2 linked regions of the Oryza sativa Japonica Group genome follow. Each later gene encodes a partner of the first gene's protein in a complex. Links are inferred from orthologs where the notes say so. Each region holds a gene or a part of one and is shown on either strand. Other genes may lie near its edges. The genes, in order: eukaryotic translation initiation factor 3 subunit A and eukaryotic translation initiation factor 3 subunit K.

The links.
Region 2: eukaryotic translation initiation factor 3 subunit A (region 1) and eukaryotic translation initiation factor 3 subunit K share a complex: the UniProt entries of both Arabidopsis thaliana proteins name them as parts of the eukaryotic translation initiation factor 3 (eIF-3) complex. The link is inferred for Oryza sativa Japonica Group from reciprocal best matches to the Arabidopsis thaliana genes EIF3A and EIF3K.

Annotation. Positions count from the first base shown.
Region 1 is NC_089035.1:1,177,962-1,188,474, reverse strand, and holds eukaryotic translation initiation factor 3 subunit A, read left to right. Parts: upstream 1-1,901; 5' UTR 1,902-2,017; intron 2,018-2,233; 5' UTR 2,234-2,268; coding exon 2,269-2,314; intron 2,315-2,560; coding exon 2,561-3,042; intron 3,043-3,672; coding exon 3,673-3,888; intron 3,889-3,970; coding exon 3,971-4,339; intron 4,340-4,428; coding exon 4,429-4,458; intron 4,459-4,679; coding exon 4,680-4,907; intron 4,908-5,016; coding exon 5,017-5,178; intron 5,179-6,069; coding exon 6,070-6,291; intron 6,292-6,363; coding exon 6,364-6,573; intron 6,574-7,074; coding exon 7,075-7,278; intron 7,279-7,367; coding exon 7,368-7,448; intron 7,449-7,828; coding exon 7,829-8,030; intron 8,031-8,556; coding exon 8,557-9,065; 3' UTR 9,066-9,348; downstream 9,349-10,513. UniProt on the Arabidopsis thaliana protein: RNA-binding component of the eukaryotic translation initiation factor 3 (eIF-3) complex, which is involved in protein synthesis of a specialized repertoire of mRNAs and, together with other initiation factors, stimulates binding of mRNA and methionyl-tRNAi to the 40S ribosome.
Region 2 is NC_089037.1:4,346,728-4,358,367, forward strand, and holds eukaryotic translation initiation factor 3 subunit K, read right to left. Parts: upstream 6,641-11,640; 5' UTR 6,507-6,640; coding exon 6,399-6,506; intron 5,695-6,398; coding exon 5,638-5,694; intron 5,552-5,637; coding exon 5,501-5,551; intron 5,404-5,500; coding exon 5,341-5,403; intron 4,919-5,340; coding exon 4,868-4,918; intron 4,786-4,867; coding exon 4,719-4,785; intron 4,181-4,718; coding exon 4,098-4,180; intron 3,841-4,097; coding exon 3,640-3,840; 3' UTR 3,375-3,639; downstream 1-3,374. Other genes in the region: 40S ribosomal protein SA, read right to left, coding at 975-1,105, 1,357-1,537, 1,642-1,839, 1,929-2,191, 2,591-2,735; ethylene-responsive transcription factor RAP2-12, read right to left, coding at 8,045-8,328, 8,776-9,198, 9,314-9,587. UniProt on the Arabidopsis thaliana protein: Component of the eukaryotic translation initiation factor 3 (eIF-3) complex, which is involved in protein synthesis of a specialized repertoire of mRNAs and, together with other initiation factors, stimulates binding of mRNA and methionyl-tRNAi to the 40S ribosome.

The sequences.
Region 1 (10,513 bases):
GAAGACAAGCAAATGATTAGTGTGCTGTGTAAGGGGTTAGGAGCAGCTTGCTTGATTATCTAATGCTAATCCGATTTAATTATCTACGACTTAGCTAGGATCAACCGATCAAAAATGGCCATATGACCGCAGTTTGGATGCTTAAAACGTGGCAGCGAGAGGGGCCGTCAAGACAGGTTGGCATGCAGCAGGAACAAGATTAGTGGCATCAAGCTAATAACTAGCGGATTGACGAGAGTCTTTTGGTGAGATGTCACTGTTCTTAACTAGCATACGGTCGAGATGATTATATATATATGCTAATTCCATCCAGGTGTTAACGCTCGCTTAAGCAGGATGTTAATAATTATCTAGCCTTTTGGGGAAAAAGATAAACTTGGTTTTGCAGGCTGCTGCTTAGGATATGGACACATTCTGGCAGTGCCCGACACCAACGACCACTTTTGCTAAGCTAGCAAGCATTGAGTTGGAAGCCACAAACTGAACTAAAAACTATTATGCTTTCTTTCATTCTTTCTTTCTTTACAGAGTAAGCCAGCTGAATTGATGGGTCAATTGAGTGATAAACATAATAGTATTTGCAGCTGAAGTGTCAATGGCAGAGTTCTGAAGGTATATGTCTGCAGATTGCAGCATTAGTGATTAGTTGATGCTCTGCAGTTTAACAGTCCACAAAGCGAGGGGGTTAATCCTGATGCTTCACATTATTCAGTTTGACTCTGAAATTAATCAAGGTTTATAAATTTTATCAACTTCAAAAGTATTGGGTGTTTGAGAGCTGACATGTTTGTGTTAGCAAAAAAGAAAATAAAGATGTAGGAGTATTTTATAACTTAAACACAGTGCATTTTTTACTATTATTCTGCTGCTCTAGGCAAGCAAAAGATTAAACAAACAAATAGATTATACAGCATTAAGATGTGCGTGTTGCTAAGAGAATACGACGACGGATCCAGCTTGCATTCAACCAACCTAACTAAAATCTGAGGATCTGGCATTTGGCCCCTCCATATATTCCCAAATCTCTGCCTCTTGTGTTCAGTGCTTGTGACGGCAATCAAGGAGATGGAATCCTAAGAGAAATGTTAATTTATCTGTTTATTTATTCGCTCTTCAGCAATGCAAGAGTTCTTTTTTGCTTTTGAAGCAATGCAAGAGGTCAGTATCTCAAATCTACTCATCATTCTGAAAATCTTGATAGGTGTTAAAAAAAAACATTTTGACTGACTTAAGTACACTAGTATAAAGTATGCAAAACTGGCTCATGTGCATTCTAACTCAGCCACATGACGAAACATGTCGAAAAATTTAAATTATAAAAAATAGTTTTGAATTAATCCAGTTATTTTTCATAGTTTTCTATTTAACCCGCTAAGAGTAGAAATAAGAAGGTGCTGCCCAAAATCATTTTAGGTTTTCGTTTATTTTTGTATAGCTTATTATCGTAGCTTAACCAATTGAGCACTAAATAAACACGATATTATCATGTTTTTTTTCTTTTTACAGGAGATGAGCCTAACTTTCTTTGAGTGCTCAGGTTCATTTTATAGTCTAGCAAAATTTCCTCTCTTTTTTTTTGGTCTTTTATTTGTTGTTAGGAAAAGGCCCATCAAGATTTCTTGGGCTTGTAGACGACTAGTACTATTGAAAGTAGGCCCATTAAGTGGCCGAACTTGTCGAACTGGGCCAAGCTTGTCCTCGTGTGCAGGCGAAAAAAATAAGGAAACCCGAAGGACTCCTCCCACGAGATCGGACGGCCAGAAGAGGCCCAACCCCACAAACCGACGGCTAGAGATCACTCCACGTCGTCAGGAATAACCCCCGGAAGCGGGCCGCGTCGTATTTCACTTGGACCCTCGCAACCCTAATAAACCCCTCACCCCCGCGCCGCCGCCGCCTCCACTCTCCTACGCTTCCACCCCCCATTCCCATCCCCTCCACCCAGATCGCCGCCGCCGCCTTCGCCTCGGACGGCCGTACGGCGCCGTCCACCGCGCACGTCTCCGGCGATCTACAGGTATCGTCGCCACCTCCTAGCCCCCGGTCTCTCATCATACGGTGGCTTCCCCCCGTGGTGGATTCCTCGGTCGGTTCCGATCTGTTCGGGAGGTGGGGGTGGGGGGTCGTTGTTCTGTAGGTTATGGAGCGTTGGTGGTGTTGTTTTTTGTGGGTGGTTCGAGGTGAATCGGTGGGTTGATTCCTGATTTTGCTGTTTGTTTTGGCTGTGATGAAGGTGTAGATCGCTTCCGGAGACATCCAACCGCGGCCATGGCGACCTTCGCGAAACCTGAGAACGCGCTCAAGAGAGCGGAGGGTGAGTCCCCTTTGGATCTGTTATGTTTATTTAGGGGACCAGTTTTCACTGTTTTGTAAGCATGGAATTCGAAAAGAGCGGTGTTTGATTCCTCCCGTCATAGACAAATTAACAGACCATGGCTGGTCGTTCAATCTTACAGAAATACTTGTTGATTCGTTCGTGCTAGTTCTTAGATGTGTTCAATTATACATACTTCGGAAAACATTTTATTTTTACTGATGATGGCCCTCTGCTCTACTTCAGAGTTGATACATGTTGGGCAGAAGCAGGCAGCGCTACAGGCGTTACATGATCTCATCACTTCAAAAAGATACAGGTCATGGCAAAAGCCACTCGAAAGGATTATGATGAAGTATGTGGAGCTCTGTGTAGACCTGAGGAAGGGCAGGTTTGCGAAAGATGGCCTTATTCAGTACAGGATTGTCTGCCAGCAAGTGAATGTGTCATCCTTGGAGGAGGTGATAAAACACTTCATGCAGCTTTCCAATGAGAAAGCAGAGCAAGCAAGGAACCAGGCGCAAGCACTGGAAGATGCCCTGGATGTAGAAGATCTGGAAGCAGACAAGCGGCCTGAGGATTTGATGCTCAGCTATGTCAGCGGGGAGAAAGGGAAGGACCGATCAGACAGAGAGCATGTCACACCATGGTTCAAGTTTCTCTGGGAAACATACAGAACAGTTCTTGAGATATTGAGAAACAATTCAAAGCTTGAAGCATTATATGCTGTAAGCTATTCTATCTGTGTTCCCCTTATTCCTGTATACATACTCTTCACACATGACATGGCATTTCATCTGGCTGTTCCATTTTGTGTACACAATCAATGATCTTAATCGTGATTGCCTCGATGCTGCGCTTCTGCCCGTCTAGTGTCTTCAAAACAATAATGTGAATAAACACACCTAATTCACCGCTCTACTGCCATACCACCAATTGGATTTCCTTCTAGTGCTATTATAGTACTCTTGGTCATCATTGTTCAATCACATTATCATATGCTGTATTATTAGAGTTCCTACTTTAACTGCTTCATATTTTTCCTATGTCATCTAATAAAATAGTTGTACACTATGTCATTATCACATTATTATGGCTTAATTTGGTAATGGTGCCAGAAGTTTAACATGATGATTCAATTACCATAATTGCATTCTCTCTGCACTATGTCTGTTTATATTTATGCAGATCTCTGTGTAATTGCCAATTTGGTTTAGGCAGATTTTACTCCTGTTTTTTTCCAGAACCTTAAATAAATTTCTGAATTGTGAAATTGATTTCCTGCACATAGTCTTCTGTACCAAGTACTTTTGCATTTGCCAATGCATCTAAACCCTTTTTAATCTCTCATTTTGCAGATGACTGCTCACAAGGCTTTTCAATTTTGTAAGCAGTATAAGAGAACGACTGAATTCCGTAGGTTGTGCGAGATAATAAGAAATCATCTTGCTAACTTGAACAAATACCGTGACCAGCGAGATCGTCCTGATCTGACTGCCCCAGAAAGCTTACAGCTATACCTGGACACTAGAGTTGAACAACTAAAAATTGCTACAGAGCTCTCTCTCTGGCAGGTCCGTTCCTTATATTTTTTAACCTTTTTTATGCCAAGTGAATCATCTTTGCTGTATGATCGTAAAGCTTTGCTTCTTGCAGGAGGCCTTTAGGTCTGTGGAAGACATCCATGGCTTGATGAGCATGGTGAAGAAAACACCAAAACCATCTGTCCTGGTTGTGTATTATGCCAAGTTGACTGAAATATTCTGGATATCTGATTGCCACTTGTATCATGCATATGCATGGCTTAAGCTATTCTACTTGCAGAAAAGCTACAATAAGAACTTGTCTCAGAAGGACCTTCAATTAATAGCTTCTTCTGTTTTGCTTGCTGCACTTGCCGTGTCACCATATGACCATAAATATGGCGCATCTCATCTTGAGCTTGAAAATGAGAAAGATCGTAATCTGCGGATAGCTAATCTCGTCAACTTCTCCCTTGACTCCAAGCGTGAGAATAGAGAAGTGGTTAGCCCTCCAGATCTTTTTCAAAGCAAAGAATATTTTGAATAATTTTATTTATTATCTTCCTGACATATCTCCTGTCACCATTGCAGCCATCAAGAGCATCTCTTTTTTCTGAGCTGGTATGTGCTGAATCCTGGGTCCTTTTATTTATCAAACTATTCTGTTGAGTTTTGCACTCTCGTCAGTTGTCGATGGGATAGCTGACATGGATAGTTCATTCAATTCTTTTTGTCAGTATTATAGGGTTGGTAGGGTTGTATCCAGTAATTTGTACTCCATTTATCATGCATAATTGAATTTCTCTTCTTGTGCTTGCTTGACTTGATATTTATAAATTTAGGCTGCCAAAGGTGTCATTGCCTGTGCTTCACAAGATGTCAAAGATTTATACAACCTTTTGGAACACGATTTTCTTCCTCTGGATCTCGTATCCAAAGCACAGCCACTGCTATCTAAGATTTCAAAGATTGGAGGGAAGCTTTCATCAGCTCCCTTGGTTCCAGAAGTTTTTCTGTCACAGTACCTTCCTGCTTTGGAGAAGTTAACAACTTTAAGGGTGTTGCAACAGGTATGTTCAATGGCACACTGTACAGGAAGTATAAGTTCTCTTTTCTCATGATCTTTTACGTTATTCTTTGGTTAACACGTGGTTTATGCACCCTTTTGTTCTTTTTCAGGCTTCCCAGATATTTCAGTCTGTGAAAATTGATATGCTCTCAAGAATGATCCCATTCTTTGACTTTTCTGTTGTTGAGAAGATCTCTGTTGATGCCGTGAAACACAATTTTGTTGCTATGAAAGTCAACCATTTATCAGGAGCTGTCCATTTTGGGAAAATGGTATGTGGTTTAGTTCCTCAAGTCTGTTGGCCACTTTAGCCTTCTCAGTGTTCTTATTGGTGGAATTTACTTTTTTATTGTTTTATTTCCCTGTAAGCATCAGTATAGAAGTTGGTTGTTCTGTTCATTGTGGTATGCATATTTATCCTCGCCAAATTATTTCCTCTAAAGTTGAAATATTCATAGAGACCATAGTTTGAACTGATGGCCAAGATACAATTGGTACATGACAACCACTATTTTCATTCACTTTCGACAGCCTTTGTAGTGTAGAACAAAAATGTGTTGACTCAATTGTATATGCTGTCTTACCACTAAGACTTAGGGCATGGTTCTTTGTGCCTCTGTTACAATATTTGTGCTATGTGTTGGAACCAGCAGATCCTTGTGGCAGAGTGTTTTCCATGATAAAATATTGTCAACTTATTTTTGCCACTAACTGGTTCATGTGGCTTGTTTTTACCACTGGGTTTATGGAACTGGCATTTAGCCCTAGGTATATTTGCCAAATCGAGTGTATTGTATGTTATTTGTAATAAAAAAGAAAGTCTGAAGAAAATTCTTGCTTGATTTATTTTGCTTCAGATTTTAAACTAGGTGTCACTGTCGTAGACATTTTTGGTAATCTGGTAATTGTACATAGCTGTAACTCGCATTCTCATTCTCAACATTATATTTAACTATGTTATATTATTTTTTATTTTTTAGATTTTCAAGTGACTATGTAGTGCCTGATGTTGGTATCTTTTGGTTTTAATACGTTCTAGTTTGTTTGCTTTTAATGCCAAATATCAGACAGTACTGGTTCTTGTGCTGTCAATTTCGGGACTTCAGTTTTATTAATTATTAACCTGTGACATCAATTTTATTCTGACTGGTTTCTGTTTGTAGGACATTGAATCTGATTGTCTCAGTAATCACCTAAGTGTTTTGGCTGATTCTCTAAATAAAGCAAGGAGCCTTATCCATCCACCTGTGAAGAAGCCATCCAAGCTTGGTGAAAACTTAACGAGTCTTGCTGCAGTAGTGGAGAATGAGCACAAGCGTCTTCTTGCGAGGAAATCAATTATTGAAAAACGCAAAGAAGATCTTGAGCGCCAAATATTGGAAAAGGTGTCTATTTGGTACTGTTCAAAGTGGCCAACTCTGTGAATTTCTGCTTATGTCATATTCTCTCTTTTCCAGGAAAAGGAAGAAGAAAAAAAGAGATTGAGTGTTCTCAAGAAATCTGCAGAAGATGAAAGGATAAGGCTTCTCAATGATGTAAAATTGAGGGAACAGGAGAGGATCCGTCGACAATTGGTTGAAAAAGAAAAGATAGAGGCAGAAGAACTGCTTCAGAAACAGATAAAGGAGATAGCAAAGAGAGGAGGAAAAAAACCTGTCCTTCAGGGGGTGAGAATAATTAGTTTCCAATCATTATATTTTATTTATTACGCTGACTAGTTATTTGTTGATAATGTTTTTTTTTCTGTTTAATGTATTGCTCAATTTATATTTGCTCGATATTTCATTATATATTTCTTTTTGTGTAAGGCATTATATTTGTTGTGAAGACTTCTGTTTCATCAATATGCTTATTAGTTATGTCTGTTTGTTCAGTCCAATATTGATTCTTTTTTGTCTTAACTGCTCAGAAATTCTAGTGGAGTAGTAGAGGGTGTGCTAATATGCTGTTTTTTATGTTTTGTGGCTAACCATTATAGACTACAAGAACGCAGAACGCAGATGATATTTGAATCTTTATATTCTGTAGTGTCCTACTCTTGTTTCATATTAAGAATTGATTGTCTTCTCCGAAGTCGGAACTATAAAGTTGTACTATCCCAAGCCAATTACAGCTTAATATTTGTTTCTCCACACAGGCCCTTTATACTTTGAATGTTTTCATTGCAGGAAGTTACTAAGGAGGCTGTGATGGAATTGGCTATGAATGAGCAGTTTAAGGAGCGCCAAGAGATGGAGAAAAAACTACAGAAGACTGGTAAGCAAATGGATTACTTGGAGAGGGCAAAAAGGCAGGAAGAGGCACCTCTAATTGAGCAAGCTTTTCAAAAACGCCTTGAAGTAGAGAAAATCCTTCATGAGCAAGAGCAGCTGGTTTGTTTCTCACAATTCCTTGATTGTCACATTACAATAGCATATGATTACTTAAGCTCACAAAAATCACTATTAATCTCTTCTTGTAGAGAGAGATTGAGCTCAGCAAGCAACACCATGCAGGTGACCTGCAGGAGAAGAACAGACTTTCTCGAATGTTGGAGCATAAGGTAAGCAAATACATATCTGTATTCAGACCAGATATTCTTGCACTATTTCATCTTCTTTTTAGTTAATTGAAGGACCAAATGTCCCACTGTAATTAATCCTGTGTTTTTCCGAAACCATGTTTTGCAATTCCAAGCATAACAGTTGAAATACTTAGTATATTATCTGTGCAAAGGTCTGATTAGATACAGATTAATTTAACATATAATATGTGCTATACTTGCTGAGAATCTAATATTGGCATGTCTTCTTTGGCTATGTGTGTGTTCACATGATTTGAGCACTAGACATTTGAATACACCAGGCGATTTGTTCCTGTCAGGGAATAGACAGCTGTCTTCTCTCCTTCGCACATATTTTAAATTGCCCTTTTTGCTTGCAGAACATTTTCCAGGAAAGAATTGTCCAACGTCGTGAAGCTGAGTTTAGTCGTCTTAAGAAAGAGAGGGATGAAAGGACTAGTCAATTGATATCATCAAGGAAGCGTGAAAGGGATACAGTGCGGAAGTTAATGTACTATCTTAACTTAGAAGAGCAGCGCCTCCAAAGGCTCCGTGAGGAAGAGGAAGCTAGAAAACGTGAAGGCAAGAATTCATGACTTTGTGCTTTGAAATACTTGTTCTTATCTTACCTTATTAGATTAGATTAATTTACACTGCCATATATCGTCCAGCTAATTTTGGAATTTCTTGAGAATTAGTGAACATTGCTTGTTGAATTACTGTGACTTTACTGCAGTATGGACCTGTGTTACTTAGGGCCTGTCACTTTGATGCCAAAAAAAACCTTACCAAATTTTGGCATAGCCAAAATTTCGGCAACTTGCCAAAATTTTAGCAGGATTTCTTATATAGTTACCAAAATTTGGCAACAAACTAAATGTAGCCACTTTTCTTGCAACTTTAACAAAATTTGGTAAGATTGAAAATGGCATCAAAGTGAACAAGCCCTTAGACAATGGATAGCTTTAAAACTTAAAATGTTATTTGGCATCAAAGTGTGATTTGCTTGTGCATAATTATCTTGCGGATCTTTTTTTTTTTGCCTGATGCAATGAAATCAAATTCTAGCTTATACATATTGTTGATAATGATTTCACCTTCTCTGCAGAGGAAGAGAGGAGAAAGAGGGAAGAGACTGAGAGGAAGGCTAAGCTGGATGCAATTGCAGCCAAGCAGCTGCAGAGAGAGAGGGAACTAGAAGAGAAGAAGGAAAAACAGAGAATGGAAGCTCTCATGGGAAGAGGAGCTGGAGCTGCTGAGCCTGCACGCACTCCTGATGCTGCTCCGGTTGCACAGCCAGCTCAGCCGGTAGCTGCACCGGCTGCTGCTGCTGCCGCTGCTGCACCAGCTGCTGGTAAGTATGTCCCGAAGTTTAAACGAGGTGGTGATGGTGGCAGTAGTGCTGGCGGCCAGAGACCTGCTGTGGCACCTGAGCAAGACCGTTGGGGTTCACGGGATGATCGCCCACGTCCTGATATGCGTCCGCTCCGCCAAGAGGCACCCCCTGCTCGCGATGCTGCTCCCCCAGCCCGCCAAGATGGTCCTCCAGGCACATGGCGACCTTCAAGATACTCAAGTTCATCATCTTCCTCAACCTGGAGCAGCAGGCGCAACTGAAGCCGTCTGCTTTCAGATGTGGACTGCTAGGGTGAGATTTTTTGCTGTCCAGGGCCATTGCTGAGATAAGCCTGTGAAACATGGTTGAATGTTTGACTGTTTGCGCATCAAATGCTCGTAAAATTTTGGAGTTAGGACCTGCTTCAGGGCAATAGCACCTTTCCTAAGTTATGTCAAATGTTATTTCGTTGTTGCAGTTACTCCATTGCACACTGGATTGCTACTCGTTAAGTTTGTCCAAACTTTGGCGCTGTTAGTAATACTGGAATATTGCCCTTGTCTTTGTGTCTTTGTTCGTTTGGTCGTTGCTACAAGTACATCGCATTTCTTTTGATTATCATCAAACTAATATGACTTGTTGATCTTGATTAACACCAAACTCGGATGAAGCTTTGACGAAGAGTTGGCGGAAACATGAATCATGGTGGTGTACCCCAAGCAGGAACGCACTGCTAGCAGTTGGTAGTTTGATGCACTGGGATTTCGGAGCTCGATTTGCACCGGAAATACAACCTTACCTATCCGCGGTCTCCTACGTTGCTCAAGTAAAGCATTAACGTTCTCCAATGTTGCTCAAGTAAAACATTAACCTTGCATAGAAGTATGAGACTGCCAATCTGTTTGACCTTGCATAGAAGTATGGATGGCAATGAACTGAACTGTACAACATGAAATGCCATCCCTCTACATCATGCCAAAATTCGATGAGTGTTGTCATTTTTGGCATCCCATTGGCTTTGCCCAGTAAATCCATCTGGTAATCAGAAACTCGGAATGGAGTTGGGAGGCAGGATGCGTTCGCTTGTCTCCTTTTATCGCACGTTCTCGATCCAACGGTTCCTGTGAATACCAACATTCTACCACCCCAGTTTCAAATTTTTTTTTTCGAAAGAAAACGAAAAGTGAAAAAAAAAAGAAAGGCGTCGGCAACTTGAGTTGGGCAAAGAGCAAGGTTCCACACGCTGTCACTGCCGTGTGGGCCATCCCCCCCCCCACGCCACGCGCTCTGCTCTTTCTTTATCTAGTCGGTAGGCTCGGTCCACTCCGCCTCTCTCTCTCTCTCTCTTCCTCCTCCGCGCGCCGCCTTACCCCTCTCCTCCTTCCTCGACGCGGCGGCTGCTCCAGATCTTCTCTTCCCCTCGCGGCGGCGTCTCCCGTCCAATCCAGTGAGTTCTCCTCTCCCCCCCCCCCCTCCTCTGCACCGCTTGCTGCATCCATCCACTTCTCTCCTCCCCAACTTTTTTTTTGAATTTTTTTTCTTACTAGATAGATTCGTGGTGAGGGCTTAGATCGCGTGGTGCGGATTGCTCAGGCTCCGGATCTGTACGTATAGACGCGCGAGCCGCGGGAGATTCTGAGTGGGTGGCTAGGTTTTTGTGCTGTGCGTCTAGGGTTTGGGCGCGGTTCGTCCTTGTTCTAGGGTTCCCTCGCAATTCAGATCTGACTCG
Region 2 (11,640 bases), on another chromosome or scaffold:
CTGATGCATGAACTAATTTTCTTCTGGGGTCCTGCTGATTCATGTTACCAGTATTGTCTTGCATGAACCCTGAACTCCATGATGAATGGGAGTGCTGTTGCAACATGATGGGAAATTACTATATTAACGAATCAAGATACAGGTTTGTGCAACTGCTGCAATACTTTGGTTGTATCTTTTGATTTTTAGGAAAATCGTTTGGTCGCTAGGGCCCCTTTAATTTGAAAGAGAAACATAATTTAAACTTTTTTATCCATTGAGCGACAGCCTTTCCACTCAGCATCGTCGGATCACCAAGGCCGACTTTCGTCTTTGCTCGACAGATGAGTCTTGCAGTCAAGCTCCTTTCTGCCTTTGTACTTGAGGACCAATGTCCATTAGCCCAAGGAAACCTTTGCACGCCTTGAGTTTATATGATTTTGAACCAATAGAAATACACCCCCCCCCCCCAAAAAAAATTGCTCTTTCCTAGGATTTTTCAGGTTTTGAAATGCATGGTAAATCTGTTTTACACGTACATCAGTAGAGTAGAGCCCTTAGAACTAAGTTTCAGTGAGGCAGCACGTCTGTTTAGGTGGAGATTAGAAGGGATAAAATGCATTCACGTCTTGGGAAATTGTTTTTGTTTCCGCACAACATTTCTCAAACTGTACAAGTACCAGATTTGAATAACAAACTGAGCGTATAGAACCATGCCATTGCACCGAGGAAAAGATTGATATAAACGCTACAGAATAAACTTAGGACAAAAGTAGAAAGCTTAACATATACCACACATCTTGCCGAGCTCACCCTCACAGCATTGTTGTTCGAAATAGGGACGGACAAACAACACAGGTTCAGCTAGAAATTCCTAAAAACAGTTGAGTTCATGGTGTAGCTATAGATGATCACATTGGATTTTGGGTGTTCATTCATGCCTCGGGAAATATTTAACTTAAGCTGCGGAAGACATCTCAAAGTGATTGCCTAGCCTAATCCCAGCCTTGAGCAGCTGGTTGAGCTGCCGGGTCCCATCCAGTAGGCGCAACCGGTGGAACGACGGCGGCTTCAGTGGCTACGGGTGCTCCTGCTTGATCCCATCCTTCGGCAGCAGCAACTGGAGCTGCCACAGAAAGGGAGAATGATCAGTTCCAAGTTAGTACAAGCGCTTAAGGCATGTAAATTTTACAGCCTATGCAGGAAAACGAAGAGACAATTGCTAACAGTATGAGCAGCAATCAGCACAACAGTTTTTTTCAAGAATATTCCAATGATATGAAATTTTTAGCATCACAAGAACAAAATTCAGAGGTCCACAACAGTTATATACCTGGTTAAAAATATAAATATATTAGAAGGGGATAAACCACAAACCTGGAGCTGCGCCCCAATCACCAACAGTAGCAGCTGGGGGAGCAGCCACATCAGAGGTCCACTGGTCAGCAGACCATTGTTCAGGTGCGGTGTAATCAGTGATGGCAGCAAAGTCTTGTGCTGGAGCTTCCTCCTCCTGCTCCTTGGCCTCCTCAGGGTCTCTGTAGAAAAACAGATCAACCTGCAAAAGACATACTCAGTGTATAAGCATACAAAGGATATGAAATTATCTTCATGAATGCACTTCCAATGTCAACGTGTTCTTGAAGTAATAACACCGCATACCATAACATCCCACTTGTGGCCAGGGAGGATAGTACCCCTCATCTGCAGAACCATCCTAGCCAAGAGCCAGAACAGGCACCCAATGCTGTTCCTCCCCTTGTTGTTGGCCGGGATGCCGATATCGACATACCGCATTGGGGAATCGGTGTCACAGAAGGCAATGGTCGGGATGTTTCCCAGAGCAGACTCCTTGATTGGCTGCAGACATAATTCAGGATAACACGATCAGTAAACAATACTGTACCCAATTCACCAACGCACTACCGTGACATGGTGATCATTTTCACCTGGTGATCGGTCCTTGGGTCAGTGAGGATGAGCAGACGGGGCTCGCTGAAGGAGGTCTGGAGCTGATTGGTAAATGTACCAGGCGTATGCCTTCCAGCAATGGCGTGCGCGCCAGTGTACTGCGCGAACTTGAGGACGGCGCGCTGGCCGTAGGGGCGGGCCGACTGGACAATGATGTCCTGGGGGTTCTCAATGGCAACAATCACCCTCGCCGCGAGCTGCAGCTTCTCCCATGTCTTGCCGAGGTTGATGATGTAGATACCTATGAATTGCAGCAACGATGTTCACGTATTCATATTCAAGATACCCTCCCAAAAGAACAGCAGCATACCTTGCAACAGGTTGCAATGCAACTATGCCACACACGATATGACACGAAATCAGATCAAGTTGAGCACCATGCCGTAATAATTCTAGCTCACAACAAGTTGGATACTTAGCTAAAGCTAGGATACTAACAAAGCATGAACAAAGGCGAGCACTATGATACAAGTGCACAATCCACACCAATCCAACCTAGGAAATCTAGTGGCAAGAACATGGTAAACCTATCCTACGTAGGAAATCTCATGGCAAGAACATTGTAATGGCTAGCTGTGAGCATCGACGAACAAGCAGAGCCGGGTGAGATGCCTGTAGGTGGGGGTGGGTGCATGCGTACCATCGGAGCGGCGCTTGTAGACGTAGCGCTCCATCTGGAAGTCGCAGTTCTTGGTGCCGAGGTGGACGTCGGCGGCGAGCATCATCTGCACGTCCTGCTCCGCCTGCGACAGCGCCCGCGCTGCGCCTCCTGCCACTGCCGCCATGGTCGCGTGTGTGGGGGTGGCGCGCGCGAAGGGAAGACGGGGGAGGAGGAGAGGCGAGAGCTCGGAGAGAGTGGCGGCGCGAAGGAGAAGGGAGGAGGAAGGAGAGGGGCTTTTATGTCATTATATCTCCGCCCCCCTGAAAACCCTAATTGGCGTTTAGGTGAGGCAGCGACTCTCCTTGGGCAGGGTGTGCATGGGCCGGCCCAAGTTTTTTTTCTTTTTGCAGAAAGACCCCCTGTTCATGTGAATTTACTCCTTTTTCCTCAATATGAATTTGGGCGGTTTCTTTTGCCAGCGACAACAAAAATCGATATCCAAGCTGTTTCGCTCGATGAAATGATATACATATTTGTTTTTTCTAAGAGATGCTTGTGGTAATAAGAGTTTATTATCCTGTTTTTGGAAGTCAAAACCACTCCCCACTTTTGCGGAAAACTAAACGAAAACTGGTAAAAAAATGCAACTACTACAAGCCAACTCCGTACGAAAAAATAGGCTAAAACCAATCCGTTTTTACACCGACCACATACGGGTTTTTTTTTTCACAATGAGTCCCCTACGCAACAGAACACTAGCAATCGCAAAAATCTGACAACGAGGAATGGTTGTAGTCTCGTGGTAAATGGAAGATCGAGTTGTGCCCAAAGCCGAACACGGCCGCTATGCAAAATTTTGCTCTGACCTGATAAAATATCTTGCCAACAATGTAATATCATGGCAGAATGCTTACATAAACATAACTAGGCAGATATGACGCTCGGATCGTCACTAGAATTGACTTGTTTAGCTAAAACAGGCATATCAAAACGCAGTACATCACAGCAGAGAAAACAGATGCGCCCAGAGTATCTTCACGCGCTCAGAAGTTCTGTAATGCAAAATCTCAGTTGGTCTGGTTGTTGACTCAGCTAAGGACAGGGAATATGCGAGTTACATGCTCGAACGGAACAGTTTCAGCTGTGTTCTTCTTGAGCTCAGGGTGATTGAACTCGTTGCGTGGAAGGACAATCAGCTGAGATCGTGCACCCTTCTCGATCACCCAACCGGAGTTTGCAATATGGTGCTCCAGGAACTTGTCCAATGCAAGACCCTCAATGTTGATGGCCTGAAAAGAAAAGTAATGAGTTTCAGCCAACAAGGGACAATCCATGTGCGAGGCAACCAATAACACCTAAATGATAGCAAAATTTGGATGATGATGGTGACACTTCTGGCGTAACAAATATTTGTAGCATTAGTAATATGAAACTTAATATTACCACGAATCCTTGGTCATCTAAAGTTTAAACAAAAAGGATTGAATGAAAACTCATGCTCCCTCGAGGACTCGTGTAATAATTAATTTAAAATGACATCATTTACCTCCGCAAGAACAGGCCTAGGAACTTTCTGGTATGTCAAGGAGAGCACATGTATCGCATAGGATTGGATTGCCTGCTCAAAACCTGTAAAGGGATTAGTTAAGTAAGCCTTCACTAGTGTTTCAAAAAAAAAAAACACTTCACCATTAGGTCAAACGGAAAGAATCCATATCAATTGCCATAAGAAAGTGTCCAATATAGCAAACATTCATAAAAATAATCCATAGGTAGTTCATGTTAGATTAAAAAGAATTCCTCAGTAGTCAGTAGAAAGAATCAAACAGAAGTTCGCTCAAGACTGCTTGATATGGTAACCAATCTCTGGGCATCTAGGATACTAATACATACTCATTTACATGACAACGCGGGCATGAACATGCCACATAAACACATGGTAAACGTCTAAACGATGATAAGTCACAAAGTTACTTTCTAAAATATGAGTTGTGCGAGAAAATGCTGAAATAAAGTAATCAGAAAAGGTACAGTTTATCAGTCACACCCAATTGGCCAAATCAATCAGGAAAATGGAGGGGGAAATACCAGTACAATCATCTAGCTTGCAACAATTACCACTTCACAACGTGTGAACAAAACATGGCTCCAATTCCACAAGACATACCTGGAACAACATCCAATATGTTGCGGTTCTTCGACGCCTCATCCCAAAATTGACGGAACCTAGCAGTCTACAAAGACGTTGATTGCGGTTAACAGTGGTTATCCCACTAACTGTTCAACATATATACAATAGTCAAGCCAGATACATACCTCCAGGTAGTGAGAGAGAACTATCAACGTCTTGAACTGTTCCTCCATTTGCTGAAATAAGAAGAGCATAGAGGACAGTGGTCAAAACTCACATGATAAGAGAACAGAGCCCAACAAATAAAAGAACTAGATGTACAGCTATAATAAACACAATGTATAAAGTATTCGGGTCTGTTATATCTACATATCTAAGACTAAATGGGCAAAGATTGTTCCCTTGCACAAATATTTAAATTCCAAATCCATGGTGAATATGATTTTATTCCATCAACTACATGTTATTATATATATACATTGCACATCTCTAGGCATACATATATGATAATGTTATTTCAGGGTCAATTTGGCAATCACCACCAAAACAAATAGATCACTGGGTATCGATACTATTTAAGATGCATCCGCAATAGCATTTTATTAGATAGATAGTTTTTGATGCGACATATACATGAGGCAGGGAATTGTTTCCGTACCACATGCTCTGGAATTAAGAATAAGCATAGGCTGAAGTCCGGGCCTGGCATTGCCATGAGAGCCTGTCAATAGAACAACATAAAGAGAGCAAAACAGTTGGAAGTGATCAACAAAAAACCATTGTTTATTTATTAATGTTAACATTAGTTCTTTTCTGACCTTAATCAATATGCGAGATACAATCTGCACACTCAACCTTTCTGGTTCGAACTGCAAAGGGAAACGCATCATTAAATAAACATATAACTCGAGCCAAAATATGGGTAAAAGCGGTTTGTACAGAGATGGACTGTCACCTGGTACAGACGAAGAAGACTAAGATTTGCATCCAAGTTATATGTTTGGTTGGAAACCTATATGAAAAGAAAAGGTCGGTAAATTTGAAAGCATTAGAACCAAAAACTTATGCTGGAATAAAACAGATGAGCTACAAAAGATGCATGCACATACTCACAATAGCTAGAGCACAAAAAAAAAGGTCTGTTGAGTTTGTTTCTTTATATGCTGGAATAAAACAGATGAGCTACAAAAGATGCATGCACATACTCACAATAGCTAGAGCACAAAAAAAAGGTCTGTTGAGTTTGTTTCTTTATAAATCGTAAGCCAAACAGCATGTCAAATATTGATATGAATGTGTGTCATCTGACCGAAATCTCCATCTTGCCACTTTCATGACCAACGACAACAGATATTATCAATTGAAAATCCATCAGTTAGCATTGAGATGACTGACAATAAGATTTATTGATGTACCAAACAGCAACCATTCTCTTTACAAGTGCTGCCGCTTAATTCACAACTCCTCCACAACGATGTGCTCCACTACAGTCTGCCCGAAAAAAATACACAAATACTGCTATTTCTAGCTATCGCCATAGCGCATATGAATCAGGATTTTTTTTTTCATAGGAGAATTTAACGATTTGCGGACCATGTAAACATGAGAAGGCGCGAGGCTTTTTCAGCACAGCCACGGACCAATCCTTCGCAAAATTCCAACAATCACACGAACAAAATCAAACGGGGCCGCAAGTATCCCATGGCTAGGGTTTACCTGATCGTTGACGAAGCCCTCGAGGTCGTTGAGGATGTCGGGGTTGTAGGGGTTCACGGCGACGAGCTCCTCCACCGTGTAGCTCTCCGCCGCCTGCTCGCTCGCCATCTCGGGGAACCCTAACGCCCGAATGCTAGAGTAGATCTCGCGCGAAACCCTGGGAGCGGCGAGAGGAGGAGAGGAGAGAAGTGGCGGCGCGGCGGAGGGGGAGGCGATGGAGAAAAGGGTTTTCGGGTTCGTGCGAATTTTTTCGCTTTAGTCCCTCAGCTATCCTTATACTCCTACTTCGTGTGCCGCGGATGCAAAAAGATGCTGGTAGAAATGCGCATGTGCCCTTCCAAGGTTTGGTTATTTCATGGACACCCCTGCTAATAACCAAAGGTGTGGCATAAGCAACAACTAGAATTGCTAATCCTAACAAAGGTGGTGTTCTTTTCTTTTAAAGATGAAGATAAAGATAGTATTAAGTGTTTTATGTAAAACGAGATGGTATTGAGGTGTTATTAGTTAAGTTTTAATCAATACAAACTTGATGAAAAATAGATTAATTTGATATTTGAGAGCAACTTTCATATAGAAAGTTTTCGTACGAAACACACCATTTAGCAGTTGAAAAGCGTGCAGCGTGTATCAAAAATTTTATCGAACTTTTGTTGGAGAAAAGAACAAGGCCTTGCCACTTTTGAAAAAAAAAATTGAAATAGGAGCCTTTAGAAAAAAGTGGATCCATTTTATTCATTCCATGATACCAATCTATTAAAAGTACCATGAGTTCATGACGACGATTTATTTTTGGTAGGAACCATGATATTGATACTAGTAAATACGCTCGAGCAATCACATACGATTGATGTGATGACACGAATTATATTTCGTCTTTTTTACATGCGGGACAATTATACAGATGATGAACATCCTTACGATCCTATCACCTACTTCCTCCGTTTCATATTATAATAATTTCTAGCATTACCCGCATTTAAATATATGTTAATGAATCAATACATATATATACGTGCCTAGATTCATTAACATATACTCCCTCCATCCATAATATAGAAACCTATAACTAGATGGGACACTTCATAGTATAATGAATATGGACAGGAAGCATGTCCATATTCGTTGTACTATAAAGTGTCACATCCGGTATTAGGTTGTTATATTATAAGACGGAGGGAGTATATGAATGTGGGTAATGCTAGAAAGCCTTATAACCTGAAACAGAGGTAGTACGTAATTATTAAATCTATCACAATTGATAATAACATGACCTTAATTTGCTCATGTTTGAAATTTTGTTCCCATGACAAACCATCTGATGAAGAGCTGAAAACCAAAATTTAGTTGCTACTATTATTTATTTCTATATTTTACACACCAATCTAAAATACTATTGTTCCTCACAAAATTAAAGCTTGCAAAGTCACAAGGATACAAGATCCACACACACAATCCCACAAACTTTACACAGGCACTTTGCAGGCTTGCAGCACAACGCCCAGTTGCAGCTCAAAAGCAAGCAAGGCAAACGGACGTCTGGCCCACATGTCAGCCTCACAGTGAAGGTGAAACACCATATGGCATAGTGCAGAGTTCAGACTTCAGACAAGCTCAAACATTCAGAGTTCAGTTCAGCAAGATCGTCAGTCGAGCAGAAGAGAGGCCTGCCTGACCAGGTGGCCTCTGCGCTCGAACACCTGCCTCCTGCGCCTCTCGAGGTCCCTCTCCACGGCGGCGATCTCCTCCATCTCGCGGTCGCATTCGGCGATCATCGCCGCATACTGCAGCTGCAGCGCCATGGACAGGGGCACCATGTTTCTGCTGCTGCTCGCGTCCTCCTCCATGAGCTCAGGTGTGGCGCTCGCCATCTGTTCGTCGCGAGGACACTGCTTGATCTTGCACTTTGCCGCGCTCAGTGCTTCTTGATCTGCGACGGCAACAAGCCAACAACGCCAATACATTAGTAAATCTACTTGATTCTTCGAAATTTGTTGGTTTGGTTTGATCGAGTTCGCTCATTTTATCAACCTTGATCATCATTCATCAGTGAGAATATTGGAATCCTTTCTTTCTTTCGCAAAAATCGAGCTCAACCGTATGATATGATGCGAACAGGGCAATGCTCCATGCTACGAGCCTACGAGCCAAGTTTCTCCGCCAGCACACATGCAAATTCAAATTCAACTTCTACTCCCGCAACGAAAAAAATAAAAACGAAAAAAAAATAAATTAAACTATAACTAGTTAACGTATATTCACAATTAAATTGTTTTATTTTATTTTGAGATGTAGGAGTTAATTTTAAACATGCATATTTACAAAGTGATATATCACGTATTAATACATCTTGAGATATCCTCCGAGGTGGTAGTACCTGCATAGGCTGCTGCACGGCCAGCACTGCCTGCGTCTGCGTCTGCGGCGTCGACGGCCATGGCGTCGTCGTCGTCACCGGAGACGGCCGCCGCGGGGAGGTTGAGGTCGATGGTCCAGCAGGGCCGGTCGTTACTCCGGCGAGGGGAGCCATCGCCGTCGCGGGGGAAGTTGAGCCTCGCGCCCTTGCCGCGGATGCGGCGGGCCTCGCGGTCGTAGGCCATGGCGGCCTCCTCGGCGCTGCCGTACGTGCCGAGCCACACGCGCCGCCCCTTCTTGGGGTCCCTGATCTCCGCCGCGAACCTCCCCGACGGCCGGCGCCGGACGCCCCTGTACTTGCTCTTCTTGCTCGCCTTCCGACGACCGGCCGCCGCCGCCGCCACGCGCCGCCGCGGCCTGGAGCTCGAGGAGACATCCGACGAAACTGCCGCCGGCGATCGATGAAATCAACAGCAGGAGAAGAAATCGTGTAAAGTTCAGGTTGCCGTCAGGTGAAAATCCTTCAAGAAAGCAGGCAAGATTTCTCCATCTCATCGTACAAGAAAACGAAGGTACTGCCTTCGACTTGGGGGACGACACACATGACACGGCCAAACTCTCGTCGCCATCGTCGGAAAGCTCGAACTCATCGTCGTCGTCGTCGTCCTCGAAAAGCTCGAACTCCGCCTCGAAGTCGACGTCGGACTTGCGCTTCCGGGTGGTTCTCCTCTCGGCGGCGGGGGGAGTCGGGGTCACCGGCAGGAGCTCGGCGGCGGTCAGCCGCCGGGGCACCCTCGCCGGGGTGAAATCGGCGAGGATTGCACCGCCGCACATGGCGCGGCGCGCTCTTCTTTCTCCGGGAGAGACGTCGCTATGGCGCGACGCGGGAGAGTGGTAAATAGAGGAAAAGTCGTCGTCGTCGGCGTCGCCGTCGCTGGCTGATGTGGGGATGGGCTGTCTAGTCTCCGTGGGCCGCTATCTCCCGATCTTGTGGGCGCCGAAGTCTGTGGGCTGCCTCGTTGTCAATTCGTCTCCTTAAAAAAATTGTGGCAAAAGTTGGTTGCAGGTTAAATTGATTGGATATTCGATGTTGTGAACTTTACTGGGATAAGGACATAGACTTTATTGGGAAAAAAAGGATAGGGTAATATTGTACACTAGCATCCATACTTCTCACCTCATTTAATTATAGCCATTCATCTATTTCCCTTTAACAATCACACCTCTCATAACTCATTTGCCAAACACACCTATAAGGTTCAGTAGATGTGGAGATTTTCTGGGATTAAGGGTTCAACAAATACAATAGCATGCTATAAACTACTCCATCTGTCCCATTTTAAATGTAATTGTGGGTTTATGCGCGCAACGTTTTATCATCCGTTTTATTTGAAATATTTTTATAAACAATATTTTTATTATTATTATATGATAAAACATGAATGATACTTTATTTGTGACTTATTTTATTTAATTTTTTAAAATAAGATGGACAGTCAAACGTTAGATACAGAAACCCACACTATTCTACTGCAATTAAAATGGGACGGGGGGAGTAACTACAAGCGCATGTGAAAAGAGAGAGAGAAGAAAATCATACTAGAGTATAGATTTGTAGCCAGCTGCAGCATGGATCTTATTATGTGTTTATGAGAGATGGACCAATGGCATCCCTTTGTTCTAAATGAGCTAGTATACGGAAATTTTCCGAAGAAATAAAATCCTCCAAATTTCCTTTGAAGTGCCTTTAATCCAAAGGAGTCCTATTCAAGGAGCATTTGATGATATGAATGAATATACAACAATTGTAAATCTTAATGCTCTTAGTCTAGTCACTAACATGTGGAGCTCGCCCAAACACTGTCCAATGTCCAATGGCAAAACACACAGTGATGTCTTAATCTCTCTCTCTCTCTCTGGCATGTGAGCATTATGACAAAACTCAAAATCATATCCACGTGCACAAAGAAAGGTTTTCTGAATATACCCTCCAAATGATACTGTCAAAATCTTGTTAGAATAGGTTGGAGCTAATGTGAACCGGTGTAGATGCTGTCATGAAAAGAGTATACTTTAGTATAGCACAAAACAGTAGGAAAGAATACCATGGGCTCTTCTTTCAGCCCACAGCCTGTCTTTAGTGTTTACCCAGGGTTGGTTATACTCCCACAGACTTGCATAAAGTTCAGAATTTGGAAGCATCAAACCATGAGTAACACTAGTATAAGACCAGCCGTTTGTCCTCATTTGCAGAAAGGGTTAGAAACCCTTAGATTTCATGCCATCAAGCGTAACAGTGTAACCCCACCATGTCATTTCTTTGCTACTTATAGCATCCCAAGTTGATGATCCATTTCATGTTTTCTCTCCTTTTTCAGATGCATACTATGATGTCCAATGTGGGTGTCTGAACTGAAATCTGAACTCTGAACTCTGAAGGCTGTTGTTTCCATCAGGGTGCATTGGTTCAGCAGAGATCGGTGATCTATGTTTTCATATGTGAGTGATTTCTGTTTTGTTTTTGAAAGGAAGCGTATATGAGTGTTCATCTATACTCTTCTTTTGCTTTTGGTGAAGTTTTGTTAACGGAGCACTCAGTACTAACAAATTCTTGCACAATGTTTGTGTGTTGTGAATAGGCAGTTGGTCACGTTCTACCGGTCTTTTTCGATGGAAATGAAGGTAATTGGAGGAGTTCTATCTGTTTGATGGAATTCAGAACCAAAATCCGAATTCCACAAAATGGCTAGAGGAAAATTTTTAGGGCTATTTGCAATTCCACAACCATAAGCATGGCCAACTGGTAGTTCTCCAAGTAAAAGAAGTTAGGAGCTGGTTATGATGGTACTAATTATTCAGTTTCTTCTATTGATCCTGAAAGTTCTAT